Sus scrofa: one gene and its partners. The protein of the gene in region 2 binds, or shares a complex with, the protein of the main gene of each other region. Links are inferred from orthologs where the notes say so. Each region holds a gene or a part of one and is shown on either strand. Other genes may lie near its edges.

Evidence for each region.
Region 1: the proteins of STX17 (region 2) and GABARAP are in contact, whole or in part, in a crystal structure (PDB 7BV4), measured with the Homo sapiens proteins. The link is inferred for Sus scrofa from reciprocal best matches to the Homo sapiens genes STX17 and GABARAP. Residues at the interface, in NP_060389.2 of Homo sapiens: Ala169, Glu170, Ser171, Trp172, Glu173, Thr174, Leu175, Glu176, Asp178, Leu179, Glu181, Leu182; in NP_009209.1 of Homo sapiens: Tyr5, His9, Lys13, Glu17, Lys20, Ile21, Arg28, Pro30, Lys46, Lys47, Lys48, Tyr49, Leu50, Pro52, Leu55, Gln59, Phe60, Phe62, Leu63, Lys66, Arg67, Phe104.
Region 3: the proteins of STX17 (region 2) and VAMP8 are in contact, whole or in part, in a crystal structure (PDB 7BV6), measured with the Homo sapiens proteins. The link is inferred for Sus scrofa from reciprocal best matches to the Homo sapiens genes STX17 and VAMP8. Residues at the interface, in NP_060389.2 of Homo sapiens: Ser171, Trp172, Thr174, Leu175, Asp178, Leu179, Glu181, Leu182, Leu185, Val186, Phe189, Leu192, Val193, Gln196, Glu198, Lys199, Ile200, Ser202, Ile203, His206, Val207, Ser209, Ala210, Asn213, Val214, Glu216, Gly217, Thr218, Asn220, Leu221; in NP_003752.2 of Homo sapiens: Gly9, Val13, Leu16, Gln17, Val20, Glu21, Val23, Lys24, Met27, Thr28, Asn30, Val31, Ile34, Leu35, Arg37, Gly38, Leu41, Glu42, Leu44, Arg45, Thr48, Glu49, Leu51, Glu52, Ser55, Glu56, Phe58, Lys59, Ser62, Gln63.
Region 4: the proteins of STX17 (region 2) and SNAP29 are in contact, whole or in part, in a crystal structure (PDB 4WY4), measured with the Homo sapiens proteins. The link is inferred for Sus scrofa from reciprocal best matches to the Homo sapiens genes STX17 and SNAP29. Residues at the interface, in NP_060389.2 of Homo sapiens: Glu170, Trp172, Glu173, Leu175, Glu176, Leu179, Ile180, Ser183, Val186, Thr187, Phe189, Ser190, Val193, Asn194, Gln196, Gln197, Ile200, Ile203, Ala204, Val207, Asn208, Ala210, Ala211, Val214, Glu215, Thr218, Leu221, Gly222, Ala224, Ala225; in NP_004773.1 of Homo sapiens: Arg52, Thr56, Ser59, Thr60, Arg62, Ser63, Leu66, Glu69, Ser70, Val73, Gly74, Ser77, Glu80, Leu81, Gln84, Val87, Leu88, Thr91, Met94, Val95, Lys97, Met98, Asp101, Leu102, Ile104, Ser105, His108, Ile109, Ser111, Ile112.

What each region holds. Positions count from the first base shown.
Region 1 is NC_010454.4:52,595,024-52,600,089, reverse strand, and holds GABARAP (gamma-aminobutyric acid receptor-associated protein), read left to right. Parts: upstream 1-1,923; 5' UTR 1,924-2,029; coding exon 2,030-2,119; intron 2,120-2,661; coding exon 2,662-2,740; intron 2,741-2,879; coding exon 2,880-2,998; intron 2,999-3,465; coding exon 3,466-3,531; 3' UTR 3,532-3,960; downstream 3,961-5,066. Other genes in the region: PHF23 (PHD finger protein 23), read left to right, coding at 5,058-5,066. UniProt on the Homo sapiens protein: Ubiquitin-like modifier that plays a role in intracellular transport of GABA(A) receptors and its interaction with the cytoskeleton.
Region 2 is NC_010443.5:241,655,436-241,660,666, forward strand, and holds the start of STX17 (syntaxin-17), read left to right. Parts: upstream 1-2,101; 5' UTR 2,102-2,168; intron 2,169-5,231. UniProt on the Homo sapiens protein: SNAREs, soluble N-ethylmaleimide-sensitive factor-attachment protein receptors, are essential proteins for fusion of cellular membranes.
Region 3 is NC_010445.4:59,189,538-59,194,842, reverse strand, and holds the start of VAMP8 (vesicle-associated membrane protein 8), read left to right. Parts: upstream 1-1,677; 5' UTR 1,678-2,091; coding exon 2,092-2,094; intron 2,095-4,037; coding exon 4,038-4,196; intron 4,197-5,305. UniProt on the Homo sapiens protein: SNAREs, soluble N-ethylmaleimide-sensitive factor-attachment protein receptors, are essential proteins for fusion of cellular membranes.
Region 4 is NC_010456.5:50,501,611-50,506,199, reverse strand, and holds part of SNAP29 (synaptosomal-associated protein 29), read right to left. Parts: intron 4,004-4,589; coding exon 3,918-4,003; intron 2,461-3,917; coding exon 2,362-2,460; intron 1-2,361. UniProt on the Homo sapiens protein: SNAREs, soluble N-ethylmaleimide-sensitive factor-attachment protein receptors, are essential proteins for fusion of cellular membranes.

The DNA of each region.
Region 1 (5,066 bases), on a different chromosome or scaffold from region 2:
GCCCAAGAGAGAATAAAAATGTGTCCTGTTTTACTCACTTATCTCTTTTCCCTTAAGAACTTAGCATTTGAAGCCAGGTCTTCTTACAAAAACTCGTCACTTTTAGCCAGTGGGTGTTGGGCAAACTGCAGCTCAGTCTCCACCGCCCGGCTTCAGCGAGGCTGCCTCACGCTAAGGTGAGGAGGTCAGCGTAAGGGCTCTACCAATGCAAGTTAATTGTCGTCCCAGGTTCACCGCGGATGTTCGTTCTGTGCTGAGTCGAAACCTTCACCAACATAGGCTCTGGTGACAGCTGCTCCCCCTCCACCTGAGTTGGGGTGGGGGGGAAGGGAGGGTGAGCCCTCGGGATGCCGTCTGGTGCCCTGGCCAACGGTGAGGACTGCCTGGGCAGAGTCTGCCCCTCCCACCCCTCTCTGCCCTGGGAGCCCTGCACTCCGTATGGAGTCTGGATGGACACATGGGCCAGATTCTGAAGCAGCCTCACTCTAACTTCGTGTTCGCACTCCCCGGAAACCCCAGACTGGGACATAAAGCGGAGGCCTGGGAGAGCTGAAACATTGTCTGGTGGAGACAGGACTGGCCAGAGTGAGCGAAAGACACTCGGTAATCCGGGAGGCTCAAAGAGAAGCCAAGCCAGCTTTGTTGTGATTTGATTTTTTAAAAACTCTTGTACAAAACTGATCTAATTCTTCACTCCAAGGGCTGGGCTGTGGGTGGGAAACTGGGATTTTGGGCCACTGGATTTTCCCCAAACTTGTCCCTTCCCTTCCTTTTCCATCTTCCCTTCTTCCTAGAGTCCCTCAGACCTGTAACGAGCTTTCTCTTTTTTTCTTTCGTCTACTTAAACCATGCATTATAACTTTGAAACCAAAGCTGCCCTAGGTCCTTCTCTGGGTTTGGGGGAAATGAAGGGGCTTTGTTCACACCCACCCTGGCTCTGGGCAGAGGGTAAGGAGCAAGCTGTTGACCTGAGGGGAGGGTGTTGGCCACCCTGGCGGGGAGGGTCTTAGTGGCAGGATGATACCCTGGCCGGGAGCGAAAGAACAGCCCTGTGTCCAGAGGGAATGTGAGCTTCCGAACAGTAACACAGAAAAGTTTGAAAGGAAAAGAGAACTGGACGCTGGGAGAGGCCTGGCTTCGTCTGCGGGCCTGACTTAGACTAGCTGAGCGGGCGCAGCCCCCCGGGGGCGGAGGGGGGGGTGTCCCAGGCCCCTGGCGCCCCACCTCCCTCCCCTTGGCCCTGCTCCCCCAGCCGCAGCCGGCTCTACTTCCTCGCACTCGCCACGTGACGCCCCGCCCTTCTCTGCGATCACATGATCTCTCCGTGAGCCGCGAAGACTGTGTTCCTCCGCGCTGACGTAGTCCCTACCTTTCAGACCTCTCCAGTCCCTATTCGTCCACTCATTCCTGGAACCTAAGCATTCTGGAAACATAAGCGTCTTTCCAAACATAGGTCTCGTTTCTGCCCTCCTCTGTTTCCAAAGACCGCTTGCTCCATTGGGGTACTACTTTGTTTTGGTGTCAACCGCCGCCTTCAGCGTACCAGCACCTTTCCTGAATAGCTGTCCTTGTAATTATCTGCTTTTTTACCTCTGTTACTTCTGAAAAGCACTTTCGGAGAACCAAGTCTCAAATTATGATTACCATCTCCAAGCCCTTTTCATCCTGTGGAAAAAGTCAGGAAATGGGTTTTCAGTTATTTTCTATGATAGCAAAAAGCCAGCCACCTTTCCTACGTCGCCTGCGTAGCCCGTAAATTGATTCCAAAGCGATTACGCTGATTGCGTGAGGGGGGAGGTCAGTAGGTGGCGCTACGCTAGTGGCGTTGGGGCCACTGAGCTAGGAGCGTAACATAGCGAGTGGGGCGGCCTCTGACGGCCGGGGGCGGGGTTGGTGAATAGGGAAGTGGCGCAAGGTCCGGGATCGCTCCGCTGAATCCGCCCGCGCGTCGCCGCCGTCGCCGCCGCCCCCCATCCCGGCCCCCCCGGGTTCCCTCAGCCCAGCCCGGTCCAACCCGGTTCCCGGGAGGATGAAGTTCGTGTATAAAGAAGAGCATCCGTTCGAGAAGCGTCGCTCTGAGGGCGAGAAGATCCGAAAGAAATACCCGGACCGGGTGCCGGTGAGGACAGTAGCCAGGGCCGAGGGCGCGGGGCGCTGGCGCTGACGCCACAGCCTGGGCTTGAGTCCGAGACCCGCAGCGCGGGCATCAGGCTGCCAGCTGTGGCAGGGTTGGGAATGAGCCCGAAACTGCTGTCTGTGGGACTGGAGGTGAAAGGAGTGGGGTAGCATTAGAACTGGGGGGCTAGGGGATGTAGGCTTAAGGGGATGTAGGCGCGAGAGCTAGACCTTGGATTCGTGTAGGGCGTTTGACATTCCGAGCTTCACAGGGGGTGCTTGAGATTGAAGCTCTAGTCGGCCCAGACAAGACATGCCTGTTTGATTAAAATCATTGTTTGTTATGACGTCCTATTCAGGGATTCTGGAGGTTTAGGTGAGTTTGAGTCAGTGGGATCAGAATCCCTGCTCAGGACTGCGCCGCGTGTTCAGAGACAAAGAGAAATGAGTCTGGGGTAGGTAGGGATGCTAGGAATGTTGAGTTCTTGACAGGTGGAGCTGTGGGCCTGTATACCTAATGTCTCCTAATTTTCGTCTCTTTATCAGGTGATAGTAGAAAAGGCTCCCAAAGCTCGGATAGGAGACCTAGATAAAAAGAAATACCTGGTGCCTTCTGATCTCACAGGTGAGAACCTGACCCAGTAGCCAGGTTTGCTTCCTGGGGGGTGGGAATGTGGTCTCTGCTGGAGGAGGCTCCACATAGCAGCTGTTCTTTTGAAGGCGTTTGTGACCTCAGACTTTCTCAGACCTTGTTTCTTTGGCAGTTGGTCAGTTCTACTTCTTGATCCGGAAGCGAATTCATCTCCGAGCTGAGGATGCCTTGTTTTTCTTTGTCAACAATGTCATTCCACCCACCAGTGCCACGATGGGTCAGCTGTACCAGGTATAGTGTCTGGGAAGTAGTGGAGGCTTTGGAGAGGAGTTGGAAGCACTTGAGAGGCAGGAAGTTTTAAGTCAGCAGGTCTTGGACTAGTTGGCTTACTTAGCTCTCAGTTTTAAATTTGGCTTTAAAATCTCCTTATAGTTCTGGGTTGGGGATTTAGACAGGGCAGTGGGAGTAGAGAGAAAAGAGAACAGTGAGTTGGAGCAACTGTTGTGATCTGGACTTTCCCCAGGCCCCTCCCCATTTCGAGGCAGCAGAGAACAATGTGTGATTTTTATGCCTAGGACTGCTGCTAGGATAATACTGCTCAGCCGCTAGGGTCTGGAGCAAGTGAGAGGGAGAGTCAAAGCACTGGTTTTGGGGGTCTTCAAAAAGAATGTTTTTGGAAGAATGTGCCTGGGTGGTGGTTGGTTCAAGTAATTAAAGCCCAGGTGCCTGAGCACTGTCATTTTCTGCTTTCACCCCAGGAACACCATGAAGAAGACTTCTTTCTGTACATTGCCTACAGTGATGAAAGTGTCTATGGTCTGTGAAGCTGCTGCCCTTAAGGTCGGGGGTCCCATTCTTCAGACAGAGAGAGGTGGCCCACCTTCCTCGACCTGTCCTTCCTTGAGGCTCAAACACCACCTCCTTTCTTCAGGACCTACACTTCCTAATGTTTGAGACTCTCCTCCAGCCCTTCTTAAAACAAGGGTTAATGGGGGAGATGGCCTCCAGTACTCCTTTCCTTCCCTTTCTCTACCACCTTCCCACTCAGCTTTAGACTTCTTGATTGTCCATCTCTGTCACATCCAGTGGTCGTTTTGGTTTCTGTTTCCTTTCTAACTGCCCAGGGGGCTCAGGATCCCAACAATCCCTTATTTTCACTACCTTCTTTTTGGGGGGTAGATGGAAGGGACTGAATTGTGGCGGGGAAGGTAGGATACACATCAATAAAGAGGAAACCACCAAGCTGAACTGGATTTTGCTTTGTGTTGCTGCCCTCTGCCTTTTGTTCTCTACTCAATGGGGGAAAGGGAGGTTGGAGGGATAGTAATGTATTTTTATTTCTTCTCCTTATGTTGGGCTTTTCCTTGTGCAGAGAAAGTGTGCTTTTGTTGTGATGGATGGAATACTCTGAGTATCATTTCATGAAAGTTGTGTTATGTACCCGTGTATAGATAGGGGCTTGAGGTTAAAAAAAGTTGGTTTTCTACTGTGGGTTCCAGTGGAGAAAGTTTGAAAGTACCTGCTTTGGATATCCCATCCAAGTTTGTCATAACCTTTTGAATCAAGGAAGGGTTTTTTCCAAGTGTGGAGCTGGTAAAAGAACTCTGTCCTCAGGTATATGTCCCTTAGCCAGACTCTGTGCCGGCGTGCGGGTTCCAGTAGAGTGGAATACAAGTTAGGGAGAAGACTGGGAGGAGGGAGCCATTATTACCACGAGAACTTCATCTCCCAGCAGCCAAGTCTCCGTGTAGCCGGAAGTGGGGCGGTCCCCGGGTGGAAAAAGAAGCCGCAGAATGAGGCAGTATGGTGGCCGAGAGATCTAATCCCTTCTTCCCCTTCTTTCTTAGCCCCGCCCCGCCTACATTTCCCAGAAGTCTACGCGCACTCTTCCGCTTTCCCCTCTGCTCCCAATCTCCCCGCCACTCCCCGGGGGAGGAGAGCGGTTTAGTACGCCTGCGCCAACCCATGGTTTGCTGGGAACTGAAGTTCCGGAGGCGTATGAAGTCCCCTTTCCGTCTTCCCCAGACGGACCACAATCCCCTTGATGCACTGCGCGTCGGCGCCCGCGAAGGGAGGAGGGAGGGAGGAGGAGGGAGGAGAGGAGGAGGAGGAGGAGGAGGAGGAGGAGGGAGCAGGCGGCCGGCGGCGCGGGGGGAGGGGGCCCGGTCCGGGAGTGCGGGAGGCAGTGGTAAAGGGAGGTGGCGGCAGCGGCTAGCGGACTCGAGTCACAACCAGGCCGAGGCAGACACCTCTGTGAAGCGAGGCAGTAGGAGCACCGAGCACCGGAGGCGGCACCGGGATCCCCGGCTCGGGGGAGGGGGGCGCCGGACCGGGAGGAGGGGAGGGGGCGATGCTGGAA
Region 2 (5,231 bases):
CAATAATTCCTTACAAACACAAACTAGATTCTGCTCTTTTTAAAAATGCTATCTTTCCTTCCATTACACCTCCTTTTAAACAGGTGATTGTTTAGGAAAGCTGTTTTTCTAGCTACTTTACTCTGTTTCAATCCATTCTTTTGGGTTTTCCAAGTAAGCAATCATAATGCCTTAAAAGAATATTTTTCTTTTTTCCCCCCATTTATTTATCTATTACCGTTTTGTCTCATTTGGCCTTCCTGATTCAGTTAGGATCTTAGGAAAATGTAGGCTAGGAGCAGGAGGCCTGTCCCTAACAACTTCAGGGCCCAGGTAAAAGTACAAAAAGAGGTCCACATACCATATTTCTAAATATGTAACATTTATAAATCAAGCTAACGAATTGTTAGATTAAAAAGTTCTACATACATTCTGAGCAAGTCATCTGAATATTCAAACACATATTAAAAAGGCTGGATCTATAAGTCAGTCTAACCAGCGAGGAGACCTGTGATCTAGACAGGGCTTCAAAGCCAACTATCTGCTTGTTCATTGTTCTTAGCAAATTATGTGTATTAAATATGTGTATCAGCCTCCCTGATAGACCTAACTTATAGCAAACATACATATAATCTAGAAGCCTAGCTTCAGGTTTAGAATCTTTGAGTGTTGCACCTCCCTAGTGTACTTGAGGTAGTTTTTTCAGAACTTAACTCAAAAGACCTTTACTTCAGGAGTTCCTATAGTGGCTCAGTGGTTAACGAACCTGACTAGTATTCATGAGGATGTGGGTTCAATCCCTGTCCTTGCTCAGTGGATTGAGGATCTGGAGCTGTGTTGTAGGCCACAGATGTGGCTTGAATCCAGCATTGCTATGGCTGTGGCCTAGTTATAGTCATGAGCTGTGGCAGCAGTTACAGCTCCAGTTTGACCCTAGCCTGGGAACCTCCATATGCAGCGGGAGCGGCCCTTAAAAAAACCCAACACTTCTACTTCAAAAGATCTGTTTAACTGACCCTTGCATAAAAAATTTTTCCCATGGTATTATATAATACTTTAATTTTTCTCCTTAGAATTAAAATTTTACCACCACCTCATTCCTAGAGTAAAAAAACACCAGTGTTCACTATACTCACAAAGAAAATCCAAAATGCTTAGCAGATTTTATGCTTTACTTTAGAAATTGCTTTCAAGGGAATTCTTATAGACCTCTAATATTTATTGATCCACAACTTCTACTTTCACTCCACTGCAAGACCCCAAGAGCTGAGTTTACTTAGCTATGGCTTGAACATCCTTATGACTTCTGAGGACAGTATCATTCAGTGGATACATTCTGAGCAAGTCATCTGAATATTCAAACACATATTAAAAAGGCTGGATCTGTAAGTCAGTCTAACCAGCGAGGAGACCTGTGATCTAGAACAGGGCTTCAAAGCCAACCATCTGCTTGTTCATTGGTAGCAGCTGGTGTAACTGGAAAAACTTGGGAAGGAAATTAAAAAACCCATTCGGAGTTCCAACTCTGTCACTAACTGGCTGAACTGGAGTGAGTCAGCAGAAACTCTTGGAGCCTCAGTGTCATTATCTATAAAGTTAGGATAAGACAGTGGCATTAAGGGCTCCACCTGTTTGGTGGGAGGCAGGAGCAGGTCAGGGAGGGGAGGGAAGCATTGGACCAAGCTTCAATTTCTGCACCTGTAACAGTCAAGACTTTTGCCCTGAACACCTAAGAGGGTTTTGGAGGACGAGAAGGAGAAGGCACAACCTTTCTGAGCTTTAGTTTCAATGTGTAAAGAGGTAAGAACACCTGGCCAACTAATAAAATTCCTAGAACACAGGAAAATGGATAGAAAAAAACCCTGCAAAATGTAGAGGCCCATACGTATGTGAATCGTCTCACACCTAAAATGCAACAGACTTACAAACCCAGACCATAACTCAAGACAACCTCTTAAAGCTCAGCCCAGAGTGGCAACATCGCTTGTACTCACGGGACAGCCGGCCACACCCCTCGAGGCTGGAGCGGGGCGGGAGGGGGCGTGGCGCAGCCCGGCAGGCCTATCGTGGTGCCCCGCCCCGTCGCGCCCGCGCCTGCGCTGTGCGCGCTTACTGGTCTCAAGCGCCCCGGCGGGAGGTAAGGGGCTCGCGACAGGCCGCCTCATGGGTGTCAGGCCCTGTGTGGCATGGTAGGCCGGGTGCCAACCTCGCGCGCGGGAGGGGCGCCCGGCGGGAAGCAGGGTATCAGTTCGGAAGTGCGAGCTCTGTGGGGCTTCTCTCAGCTCCAAGAAGTGATGGTTTCGGTTTTGGAGGCGCTATTCGAAGCGGGTATAGAGGGCGGCCGACCGGAGGAGCTGGTCGGCCTCCTGGGGTCTCAGGGTGGAAAAGTTTCTATCGTCTGCCCTGCCGTGACGCACTGTGGGCCATAGGTCGTCAGCGTCGTGGGCGTCTACGTCCTGAGACTGGTCCGCGTACCCGTTCTCGGCGAGGGTGGGGGGAGGGGCGTTTGGTTTCTGTGGCCCGGGTGCGCTGTGGGTTACTCTGCTCCGAGGTAGTGAGGGGAGGACCCGAAGCGAGAGGGTGGAGTGTCCTGTCAGCCAGACCGGGAGGTGGCTCTTAGAAGGTCCCATGTTTAACTCCCCCTTTTTTAAAATTCGGAATCAGAGGCTCAGAGAGCGGACTATAGGGTAGGACCAGGGGCCTTGACTTTTCTTTCCAAATTTAGGAACGCGTCCCCAAGTCAGAATCTTGTCCGAAACAAATCAGGGCGACGTGGCTGAAGACATTCGGTGCCACTGGTGTGGGGAAATGTTGGAAGATGTTCATCACTTTTTTTTGTTGCCAGCAATTTTGGACTTTTTCTGAGAAATAGGGCTTTTCCTTTATAAATAATCCGAAGTAATTTGGTTAACCTCCCAGTACTTTTTCCTTACTGGAAACTAATGGTATGGTATTCAGCTGGTAATAGTTGTAAGCACCTGCCATTCCCCCATCCCCAGCCCCCGAGCCAAGTGTCTGTGCAGTGAATATGGTTGCAGTTATTTGATGTAGAAATGTTTGGCCTGTCTTACATGAAACAGCTCAACACGTTTTTAAAAAAGACTTTATTTTGAAATAATTTTACAATAACGGAGGAGTTAGAAAAGTAATAGAGAGTTTTCTAGTTTCCTTTAATGTTAGCATCTCATATAATCGTAATACAAATATCAAAAGTAGGAAATCAACTTAGGTACAACACCGTTAACTAAACTATCAGCTTTCTTAAGATTTCATCTTTTTTTTTTATACTAATGTCCTTTTTCTGTTCTAGGATCCAATCTAAGACCCCACATTGCATTTAGTTAACATGGCTCCTGAGTCTCCTCCAGTCTGCGACAGCTTCTAAGTCTTTTCTTGTCTTTTAGGTCCTTTACACTTTTGAAGAGTCCTGGTTATTTGTTTTGTAGAGAGTCCCTCAGTTGAGTTTTGTCTGATGTTTTTTCTCCCGGTGAGATTAGGGTTATGCGTTTTTGTTGATGTCACAGAAGTGTATGCCCTTCTCAGTAGTCCATCATGTAAGGAGGTGTGTGATATGACACTGCTTTTGAAATTACTCTTGATCACTGGTTAAGGTGGTATCTGTTGGGATTCTCTAAAGTTACTACTTTTCCCTTTGTAACTAATCAGTATGTTGGGGGAGAACTTTGTTTAATTTTTGTTTTGTTTTGTTTTCTGGCTGCACTCACAGCATATGGAAGTTCCTGGACCAGGGATTGAATCTGAGCCAAGCTGTGACCTACTCTGCAGCTGTGGCAATACCATATTCTTTAGTCACCTTTGCCAGACTGGGGATCACCTCCGTAGTGACCCACACTGCACCACTGCGGGAACTCTGACAACTTTTTTTTTTTTTTTCCTTTTTATGAATGTACCTGTGGCATATGGAAGTTCCTGGGCTAGGGGTTGAGTCAGAGCCTGCTGCAGGTCTATGCCACAACCAGGGCAACACTGGTTTTGAGCTGCATCTGCAACCTACACTGCAGCTTGTGGCAATGCTGGATCCTTAACCCACTGAGTGAGACCAGGGATTGAACCTGAGTCCTCGAGGACACTATGTCAGGTTTTTAACCTGCTGAGTCACAACGGGAACTCCCCCTGGGGAACTTTTAAACAAGACAAATACTCAGTTTCTTTTCAAACTTTAATTAGCTGATTTGAGCATCCATTACTTTTTCTTGCTTTCAGTAATTGTTACTGTGATAATCTCGATGGTGGTTTTCTGTTTCTCTCATTCCTTCTTCACTTATTAATTGGAGTTTTTTTTGGTTTGTTTTTGTTTTTTTTTGTCTTTTTGCCTTTTCTAGGCCACTCCCATGGCATATGGAGGTTCCCAGGCTAGGGGTCCAGTCGGAGCTGTAGCCACCAGCCTATGCCAGAGCCATAGCAACGCAGGATCTGAGCCTCGTCTGCAACCTACACCACAGCTCATGGCAATGCCGAATCTTTAACCCACTGAGCAAGGCCAGGGATCGAACGTGCAACCTCATGGTTCCTAGTCAGATTTGTTAACCACTGCGCCACAGTGGGAACTCCTGGAGTTTTTCTGTAAAGAAGAGCTGCCCCTTCTTCTCATTTATTTATTGTTAATTTTTTGTATCAGTATAGATTCATTTATCTTTCTGTTGGTTATTATCCTACACTGTGGTTATTTATTTTATGTCTTAAATTGTTCCAGCTTTGGCCATTGGAAGTTTTTTCAGGGTGCTTCTTGTGCCCTCTTCATAGGTCCTCGTTATTTTTTGAGAACTTCTTTTCTTTTTGACACCAGAGGATGCTCCAGGCTCTCTTGTGTTTTCCTTGACACAGCCCTTGAATCCACCACTTCTCCAAGGACCCCCTGGTTGGTTTGGAGAGTGGTATTTTTTTAACCATCAACGATTTAGGTGCTAGGTGTGTTCATTGCTACTGGGGTATCACTGCTTCTAGTGCCCGGCAGAAGACATCTAGGAAGTGTGTGTGAGTGTGTATTATATATATATATATTTCTAGCTATTTGTACATACCATCATCCCTTGGTATCTGTAGGGAACTGGTTCCAGGACCCGTCACAGACTAAAATCCAAAGCCGTGCAAATCCACGGATACTCAGATCCCATGATTTGTCCCTTTGTATCTGAGGTTCCATATCTGCAGACTCAACTGTGACTCCTGTAGTGTAGTACTTACTGGAAAATATCCATGTGTAAGTGGACCCTCACAGTTCAAATCCATAT
Region 3 (5,305 bases), on a different chromosome or scaffold from region 2:
AGGTTAGGGGTCCAATCAGAGCTGTAGCCACCAGCCTACATCAGAACCACAGCAACGCAGGATCCGAGCCATGTCTGCGACCCACACCACAGCCCACGGCAACACCGGATCCTTGACCCACCGAGTGAGGCCAGGGATCGAACCTGCAACCTCATGGTTCCTAGCCAGATTCATTAACCACTGAGCCATGACGGGAACTCCCTTTAACAGTTATATATATTTTTAACTCAATATATCCAAAACATTGTTTCAACTTATCATTAACATATAAAATTACTGAGATTTACAGGTATTCTCTCATAATAAGTCTTTGAAATCTGTGGGGGTTTTTTGTTTGTTTTGTTTTTAGGGCCACATTCATGGCATATGGAGGTTCCCAGCCTAGGGGTCTAATTGGAATACAGCTGCCAGTCTGTGCCACGGACACAGCAATGCGGGATCCGAGCCGCATCTGCAACCTATACCACAGCTAACGGTAATGCCGGATCCTTAATCCACTGAGCAAGGCCAGGGATTGAACCCGCAACCTCATGGTTCCTAGTTGGATTTGTTTCCATTGCACCACAAAGGGAACACCTGAAATCCGTGTGTGTGTTTCATTTACTCTTAAATCTCATCAGAGTTCAGACTAGCCACATTTCAAATGTTGAACAGCCACTTGTGGTCCAAGGCTACTGTACTAGACAGCAGCAAGTACAGATCAAAGGTTCTGACCTCCCTCTTCTTGGCCACATTGTAGCCTTTCTAAGGATGCTGAGGAGTCCAGGAGCCACATTCTCTGAAAGCAGGCTGTTACTATGCACCAAATTTCAGAGCTGCAGAAGATAATAATCTTATCTAATTGGAAGAAGGTTTCATTATAAATTAAAATTAAGGGTCTCAAAATGCTCCAGAGGTCCAAAATGTATGAGACTCTTTAAAAAAGCATTTGTCAGAGAAACTAACATTTCCCTCTTGGAACTGTTACCTCTTCTGGGATGGGACAGGAATGTTTGTTCCCTTCTGCACGTCCCTGTTATTGTTCTTCTGTCTTGATAAACACCATCCAGGAAGAGTGGATTTTCTCTGGCCTGGAGCCAGGTTGGTGGAAAAATCCTTTGCCCTGGGCCCCTTTTCCTGCTCCATAGGGCAGTCGTCTGACTGTTTCTGACAGGGCTCACCAACCCACATGGTGGCTCCTGAAGAGACGTACATGCAGGACTGTTGAACTCTGGAAGGAAAGGGGGGTTGGTGAGCCATCATTTCCTGATTCCAGCAGTGGGCAGCCCTTGGTTCCAGACACTGTGCTAGGCACATGCTATGTTCTATCCTTTTATTCCTCACCACCACCCTCTGAGGTCAGCGTCAGCACCTGCAAAACCCAGACAGGCAGAGGTTCACTCAGGGTCTGCAGCCTTCTGACACCAGAGCCCAGAATCCCAGCATTCCAGACTCTGGGGGTTTTAGTGCTTTCTACACTAAAACAGACTTGGGAGCAAGGTCTGTCCAGAAAGTGTTCATCTCTGCATCCTGTTCCCATGCGAACAAGGTGCTGAAAGTTGAGTTCAATCTCCAAGAATTGAGGGTCAGATATTCAGGACTTTAGAAAAAGAAGCGGGACTTCCCGCTGTGGTGCAATAGGATTGGCAGCGTCTCTGCAGCTCCAGGACGCAGGTTTGATCCCCAGCTCAGCACAGTGGGTTAAGGATCCAGCGTTGCCGCAGGCTGCTTTGGTCGGCTGGGAATTCCATGTGCCGTGAGGCGGCCAAAAAAAGCGGGAGGGGGAGGAGATGGCTGCCCTTTCTACGTCAGTAAACCTAGGAGGGCTGCCTGATCTTTTTTTCCCTGGTTCCTGATACGTGAGAAGAATTGTGGTGCCAGGGAGCCCTGTGGCTTTAAGCCTAAGCCCTGGCAGGGGAGGAGACTGGGAGGGCTGTGGAGGGTGCCCGCCTACCTGGGGAACCTGCGCGAGGTGTGGCCGGAGCGGCTCGGGATGCGAGGTGGGCGGGGGCGGGCTGAAAGTTGGACAAGCAGGAAGTGAACCGACGGCCGCCCGGGAGGAAACCGATTTAGGCGAGTTCTGCTGCCGCCAGGCCCCAGCCGCTCGGAGACATGGTGAGAGAGCTGGAGACTAAGAAGGGGCTGATTTCAAGCCCAGCCAGAGGGTTCGAGGGGGAGGGCTGGGGATCAGCAAAGGAAAGTTAGTGGCAAAGTCCAGAGGGCCGAGCCAGCGCTGTGGCCTGTCTTCTTTGACAGTTCGTCTGCAAATAGTTCGGAGCTGCCTTGGGCGGGTGTTCCTGCTCCTTCTTCGCTCCCTCCCTCCCCTGACCCCGGAGCCGGCCGGGAGGGGGGCTCCGGTGGGGGTGGGGGAGTCCTAATTCTTCTCCTTCTCCAGCCGGCGGGCCCGCGGGTGTTGTGACATTCCTGGGCAGCGCCTCTGCTGTTCCCGTCGCAGGTTCCAGCCCAGCGGCGGAATCCCCCTTGCCTTTCTCTCTATTCTTGTACAGAAACGCAAAGAATGTGTCTCTCCCCTGAATCCAAGGAATCTAGCTCATCTCCATTAACGTGAGGAAGAGAGCTAAGGGTTTGAAAGTCAGAAGTGGGTTTTCTGTGAGTGTCTCGTTTGGACCCACACCAGAAGTCTAGTGGGTCAGGGAGGGAGTTTCTCCCTCCCTGTTCAAAAACCTTATCATAAAGCCTGGGGATGAGGCATCAGGCCAGGAAGAACTTGCCCTCCATTTCCCCCAACGCCCAGGCTGCTGTTTTTATTTTATACTTGCTTAAGCAGGCAGTGGCGTGGTGCCGGCTCATGACGCTAAATGGTGGGGAAAGCAGAAGTTTGTGGCCCAACGGCTCTCTGGTGGGGCCTTGTGAGGGACTTGTAGCCTGGTGGCTGTTGTTCTGGGTCACAGCCATCAGGCTGCCCAGGAGGTCCGGAGAGAGAGGGAGAGTTGAGCTGGGTGAGGGTGGTCTGCGGGCTGGCACAGGCATTTTTACTGAGGACCCTATGGGATTTGAGAGTTGGTGAGGAGCAGTGGGGCTGTGCACTGTGAAATGCCAGCTCAGCTGTCTCCTGGAACCCTCTTTGAGGAAAAGAAGCAGTGGAGAGGGGTTTGGTAGTGGTATTTGTCATGCACCCTGAGAACCCACAAAGAGGTTTGATTCAATGTCTCCTAGCATGGCTCTTTACCATCTGGGGCTTAAACATGTAGGTTTTTTTCACTGTGCCCTATGGCATGTGGAAGTTCCCAGGCCAAGGATCAAACCCAAGCCTCAGCTGTAACCAGAGCCACAGCAGTGGTAACACCAGATCCTTAACTTCCTGAGCCACTGGGGAACTCCAGATGCTTTATTTTATTTTATTTTTTTGTCTTTTTGCCTGTTCTAGGGCCACTCCCGCGGCATATGGAGGTTCCCAGGCTAGGGGTCTCGTTGGAGCCGTAGCCGCCGTCCTACACCACAGCCACAGCAATGCAGGATCTGAGCCATGTCTGCAACCTACACCACAGCTCACAGCAACGCCAGATCCTTAACCCACTGAGCAAGGCCAGGGACTGAACCTGCAACCCCATGGCTCCTAGTTGGATTCGTTAACCACCGTGCCACAACGGGAACTCCAAAATCCTGTTTTTTTTTAAATCTTTTTATTTTAGGGCTGCACCCTTGGCATATGGAAGTTTGCAGGCTAGGGGTCATATCAGACCTATAGCCGCTGGCCTACACCACAGCCACAGCAACAGCAACGTGGGATCCAAGCCAAGTCTGTGACCTACACCACCACAGCAATGCTGGATCCTTAACCCACTGAGCAAGGCCAGGGATCGAACCTGCCACCTCATGGATGCTAGTCAGATTTGTTTCTGCTGAGCCACAATGACGGGAACTCCTGCATTTGTTTTTTTATTACATGCATACTTAGCAGAAAACCTTCTCTTTGTAAATAGTTCAAGCATTACAAAAGCTTAAGTCCATCTTAGGCCTCCCCCTCCTCTGGCCTCTGAGGCTGAGTCTCAGTCCCTCCACCACTTGGCTTAATTAACCGTTTTGTTGCTGCCCAGGAGGAGGCCAGTGGCGGTGGAGGGGATGACCGCGTGCGGAACCTGCGGAGTGAAGTGGAGGGAGTCAAGAATATTATGACCCAGAATGTGGAGCGGATCCTGGCCCGGGGAGAAAACTTGGACCATCTCCGCAACAAGACAGAGGATCTGGAAGCCACAGTGAGACAATGGGGAGCCTACTGGGGGCCAGAGGAAGAGGGGGAAGGAAGATTCTTGGGGGTTTGGGGATTGGCTGTCTTGGTGGCAGATGTTCAGGAGGGCAGTCTGCCTTTTCACCTGCATTGGGAATTGATGGGAGCAGATTCCCCACTTCTGATTCTGCTCTACTCCACTGATTGGTGCTGGGGTCCAGGGAATGGGTTCAAGGACTGGGGCTGGGGTGCATGGAGAGGGTGGAGGTGGGTGCGGACCCATGGAGGCATTTCCTGAGACAAATGGATGGCTCAGTCAGCCTGTGTCTTCTGAGGCTTCTCTCCTAGGAGACTTTCCCTTTGAAGGCTGCCCTTGACAATCATTTGGATCTGGCCTTCCCCAGGGCAAAAATATTGGCTCCAGAAAATCCTCTTAGGGCTCTAGGCCTTCCCCAGGAGTTGTTAGGCAGGTGGTGGAAAACTGTTAAGAATCTTGCTGAGCCAGCTTTAAAAAGAAGGTGGGAAAAGCAGTAAAAGTCTTTGATCCAGGGTTCTCTGCTAGCTAAAGGCTAGAATAATATCTCCCACATCTTTTTTTTTTTTTTTTTTTTAGGCCATCTGGTACCTGTAGCATATGGAAGTTCCCAGGCTAGGGGTCCAATCAGAGCTGTTGCCTCTGGCCACAGCCACAGCCACAGCAGCTTGGGATCCAGGCTGGATCTGTAACCTACACTGCCCCTCACAACAATGGCAGATCCTTAACCCACTGGACAAGGCCAGGGATCGAACCCGTGTCCTCATCGATGCTAATTGGTTTCTTTAGTGCTGAGCCACAAGAGGAACTCCCCAATATCATCCACATCTTGCTAGATCTCATTCTCTCTCTCCAGCCAGAGGCTGCAGCCAGCTGCCCAGGGAGGGAGGAACTCTAAAGTTCAGCAGAGGGCTGGAGCATAGGATTCCACATCCATGGGAGAGCCTGGCCTTGGCTTTCTGAGTCCTGTGTGTGACCTTGGGTATAGATCCTTTGACTCCCTGAGACTTAGTGTTTCTTTCCACAGCCTCGTCTGGGGAGCATAGCCCAGGAAAGTTAATTTCTGCAACTTGAATTGGGAGAGGAAGAGCATTTTTCCCTCA
Region 4 (4,589 bases), on a different chromosome or scaffold from region 2:
TTCCAAGGGCTGGGCTGGACCACTTCCTTTGTCTACTTGGTAGTTGGGGAGGCAGTGGCCTCTGCATAACCTGGGTGCATAGGCCCTGCAGCCGAGGGTCCCTAGGCAAGAGGCATTAAGTACAAAAGGTGCTCTGATATCTGGGCCAAGCCCCAGGTAACTGGAGTGCAATTTTTTTTTTTTTTTTTGGTCTTTTTGCCTTTTCTGGGGCCGCTCCCGAGGCATATGGAGGTTTCCAGGCTAGGGGTCTAATTGGAGCTGTAGCTGCTGGCTTACGCCACAGCCACAGCAACTCGGGATCCGAACTGCATCTGTGACCTACACCACAGCTCACAGCAATACTGGATCCTTAACCCACTGAGTGAGGCCAGGGATTGAACCTACAACCTCATGGTTCCTAGTAATTCGTTAACTACTGAGCCACAACAGGAACTCCTGGAGTGCACTACTTTTGGCAAAGGTTCTTTTTTTTTTTTTTTCTTGGTCTTTTTGTCTTTTTAGGGCTGCATCCATGGCATTATAGAGGTTCCCCAGCCAGGGGTCCAATTGGAGCTGTAGCCGCCAGCCACAGTCACAGCCATAGCAACTCGGGATCTGAGCCGCATCTGCAACCTACACCACAGCTCACGACAACCCCAGATCATTAACCCACTGAGTGAGGCCAGGGATCGAACCCAAGTCCTTATGGATGCTAATTGGGTTCATTAACTGCTGAGCCACGATAGGAACTCCCAAAGGTTCTTCTGACAACTGCTTAAGTTCAACTGCTTAAGTTCAACAGTCAGGTGACAACTGCTTAAGTTCAAGTTCAACAAAATGTCCATAAGGAACAATGCCTATAAGGACGTGGTCAGCCTCAGGAGTATTTGAAGGGCTTCCACAGCACAGTAACATAAAGACAGCTAAGCATGGGGTTCCCTGGTGGCTCAGTGGGTTAAGGATCTGGTATTGTCACTGCTGTGGTTTGGGTTCAATCCCTGGCCAGGAATTTATGCACATTGTGTGTGTGTGTGTTTTTTTTTTTTTTTTAAAGGGTCAAAATATATGAATCCCTAGCAGTGGCTTTACGAATCTAAGCAGAATCAGGTTTTTAAATTAATTAAAAAAAATTTTTAGGCGTTCCCATTGTGGCTCAGCAGCTAACAAACCCAACTAGTATCCATGAGGATGGCGGTTTGATCCCTGGCCTTGCTCAGTGGGTTAAGGATCCGGCATTGCCCTGAGCTGTGGTGTAGGCTGGAAGCTGTACCTCCGATTGGACCCCTAGCTTGGGGACTGCCATATGTGTGGCCCTAAAAGGACAAAAAAAATTTTTTTTAGGGCCACAACTGTGATACATGGAGGTTCCCAGGCTAGGGGCTGAATTGGAGCTACAGCTGTTGGCCTATGCCACAGTCACAGCAATGCTGGATCCAAGCAGAATCTGCAGACTACACAGCAGCTCACGGCAACACCGGATCCTTAACCCATTAAGTGAGGCCAAGGATCGAACCGCCATCCTCATGGATACTAGCTGGGTTTGTTACCACTGAGCCACAACAGAAACTCTAGAATCAGGTTTTTTTCAAAAAAGGTAGTCTTCAGTTCTATGCTTCCTAAAGCCTCTGCCTTTAGTTCTATGCTTGACTGAAGCCTGTGCCTTGAGCTCCATGGGTTACCCCAGGATCCAGCAGCTGGGACAGGCAAGAGGCTGTGCCGGGGTGAAAAGCCTGACAAGCAGGGCCATGTGGCAAGGGTCCCTGACAAAGATGGGTGTGCCAGGAGGGAGAGGAATTGTGCCCAGGGTAGTGGTATGGCCTCGCTAGCAGAGACTGTGGACAGCTGTCCCGGGGTCCCTGAGGTCCACACAGCCCTCCTTTGGGCCACTGTGTGCTGGCCAGTGCTGCAGGTTTGAGGACTCCCTGCACACCCCCAGTGGGCTCTACTTAGCCTTCTTCCTGCCTCCCTCCCCCAATTCCTGAATTCCACTCCCTGATATTTCCCCATCAGGCATCAATGACACCCTTTCCTGGTGGGGAAATTTTGTTTAGGGGTTGGTGGACTCGCTAGCGTCCCATGTTGGAGTGGCCAGATCCGCAGACATCCCTTCCACCTGGGCTCTAGGGCAGAGTCCAGGGAACTGAAGCAAGCAGGCAGATGAGAGGTGGGGATGGAAACAAGTGGACAGAAGAGAGGTAGAGACGGAGACAAGCAGACAGAGGAGAGGTGGAGACAAAGACAAGTGGACAGGCTCCAGAGATCAGGGGGGAGTGGTCATGACTCTTGGATTTGCTGAGAGGGGAGACAGAGGCAGACGCCAGTGGGCTGGGCACACGCTGCCCCGGGCAGGTGAACCTTGAACGTGGTGGTGCCCCGTCTTACCCAGATTGCTGTCGATTTTCTGATGATAGGCTTGGAGGTGAGGGTTCTTTGGATACGCCTCAGAGCTCACAGCAGATCCAGCCCCTCCAGGGATGCAGTCTGGATTCACAAGAAGACACCAGGAGATGGGTTAACTGACATCCCTTGAAATGCTGCTTTACAAAATCTTAGTCTGGGAAACAGGTGGAAGGACTATAATGGTCAGTTCTAAGGCCAGAGCGATGGCTGTGGGAGTGGGTTGGGGGAGGGGAAGGAGCCCTGGCAGGCTTGTGGGGAAGGGAGAGATGCTTCCTGGGGGCCTACCCTTCGGAGATCAAAGACCTCCAACCTCTGGAGGGCCTGGTCAGCCCCTGGTGCACAGGAAAAGAGACAGATTGACACATGTAATGACATAGCAGTGGTGTTGCATCAGGCAAAACCTCACGGCTCAGGAAAGAGGAATGTCAGATGATGCACATTTGCCCCAAGAATCCTCCTGACCTTCAGCTCCTGAGTTCACACAAGAAAGCCCTGTCAGGCCAGTTCACATCTTCTGGGGAATATCTCTTTCTAGATTTGCTGTATTTCCCCCCCAGCACGATTTACACAAGCCTGTTTTTTTTGTTTTGTTTTGTTTTGTTTTGTTTTTTTGCTTCACCAATTCTCTTAAGCTAATACACACCCTACAAATGAAACTCCTTTTAGTTCCTTAAAATTGTCTTTCGGTGCAGGGCTCTACTCCACTCCCTTGGGCACAACGAGCTGGCTGTGTTATGCACTTTAGTTCTCTCACTTCCTCTGTGGCTTTGGCCTTTCCAGATAGCTCTGTCTCTCTCCAATGCCTCCTCCACCAGGCCTCCCCTCGGCTGTGTCAATCACATGGCAGGGGGCACCTGGCTATTTGTGATGGGCCTGGCTCTCTAGGGGTCCAAAGAAGCCCCCAGGATGCCTCCACTCCTTTCCAGATAATGGCTGGTTCTGGGCTTGTCATTTGATACTGACAGGATGACCTGACACAAAACAGATTCTACCCTGCACTCCCATCTGCCCGGGCTTGAGGGCCACCACAGCAAACCCCCATAGACCACCTTCAGTTCTGGAGGCCAGAGCTGCAACCTGGGGCTCACTGGGCTGGCCTCTGGCTAGAGATTCTCAGGGAGAATCTGCCCCCACCTCCTATGGCTCCTGGAGGCCACGCCTCAGCCAGGGGCCCTGCCTTCACCTTCCAATCTCCCTCTTTACTGCCTCCTTCGCACGTGCAGGGCAGCCTTGCGGTTTTACTGGGTCCACCTGGAAAACCCAGGATCATCTTTTCACCTCAAGTTGGGCAACTGTGCTCCCTTTGTACCCACAACCCCCTTTGCTACATGACCTGATGTTCCCAGGGCCTGGGGCTGGGGTATGGATGTTTTAGGGGCTATGACTCCACTTACCACAGGGGTTTCCCTGCAAGCAGCCTTTCACACTCAGCTCAGAGCTGCAGTGCAGGCTCCCACTTCCTCCTCTCCGCCTCCCTCACCCAGCAGGTGCTCCCTCCACCCAACCCAAGTGTTAGGTAGGAAAGCAAGCCCACTGACCTGAGTCATTCAGCCTCCTGAGGTTTGGGTGGCTGGCCTGGAACCGTGCCTCCTGGTCTTTGCTTATACTTATGGCTTCTTTCAATCTTTGGATAAGAGTCAAGAAAAGAAAGAAATCTTTTAGAAGGGAACACCACCTCTGCCAGCATAGTCTTTTCCTGGGGTGCCTGTGTGAGAAAATCAAATGCCTCCTCCAGAAAAAAAAAAAAAAAAAAGGAGTTCCTTTCATGGCTCAGCAGAAACGAATCTGACTAGTATCCATGAGGATGCAAATTTGATCCCTGGCCTCGCTCAGTAGGTTAAGGATCCAGCGTTGCCGTGAGCTGTGGTGTAAGTCGAAAGCATGGATTGGATCCCATGTTGCTGTGGCTGTGATACAGGCCAGCAGCTACAGCTCTGATTCAACCCCTAGTCTGGGAACCTCCATATGCTGCAGGGGTGGCTCTAAAAAAACCAGGAAAAAAAAAAAAAAAGGCCTCCACTTTCACTTGCCTGCCCTGGAGCCCCACTGGCCCTGCCTGAGCTTCCCAGGTGGGTGGGCACAGGCCCCATGATGGCCTTGCAGGCACCCGAGCACAGGGTGTGCTTTTTGCTGCCATAGGCCAGTGGCCTGGAAGAGAACATGGACCATGGTGCCTTGCGCAAGCTGGGCACCAGCGTGTTGGAGCACTG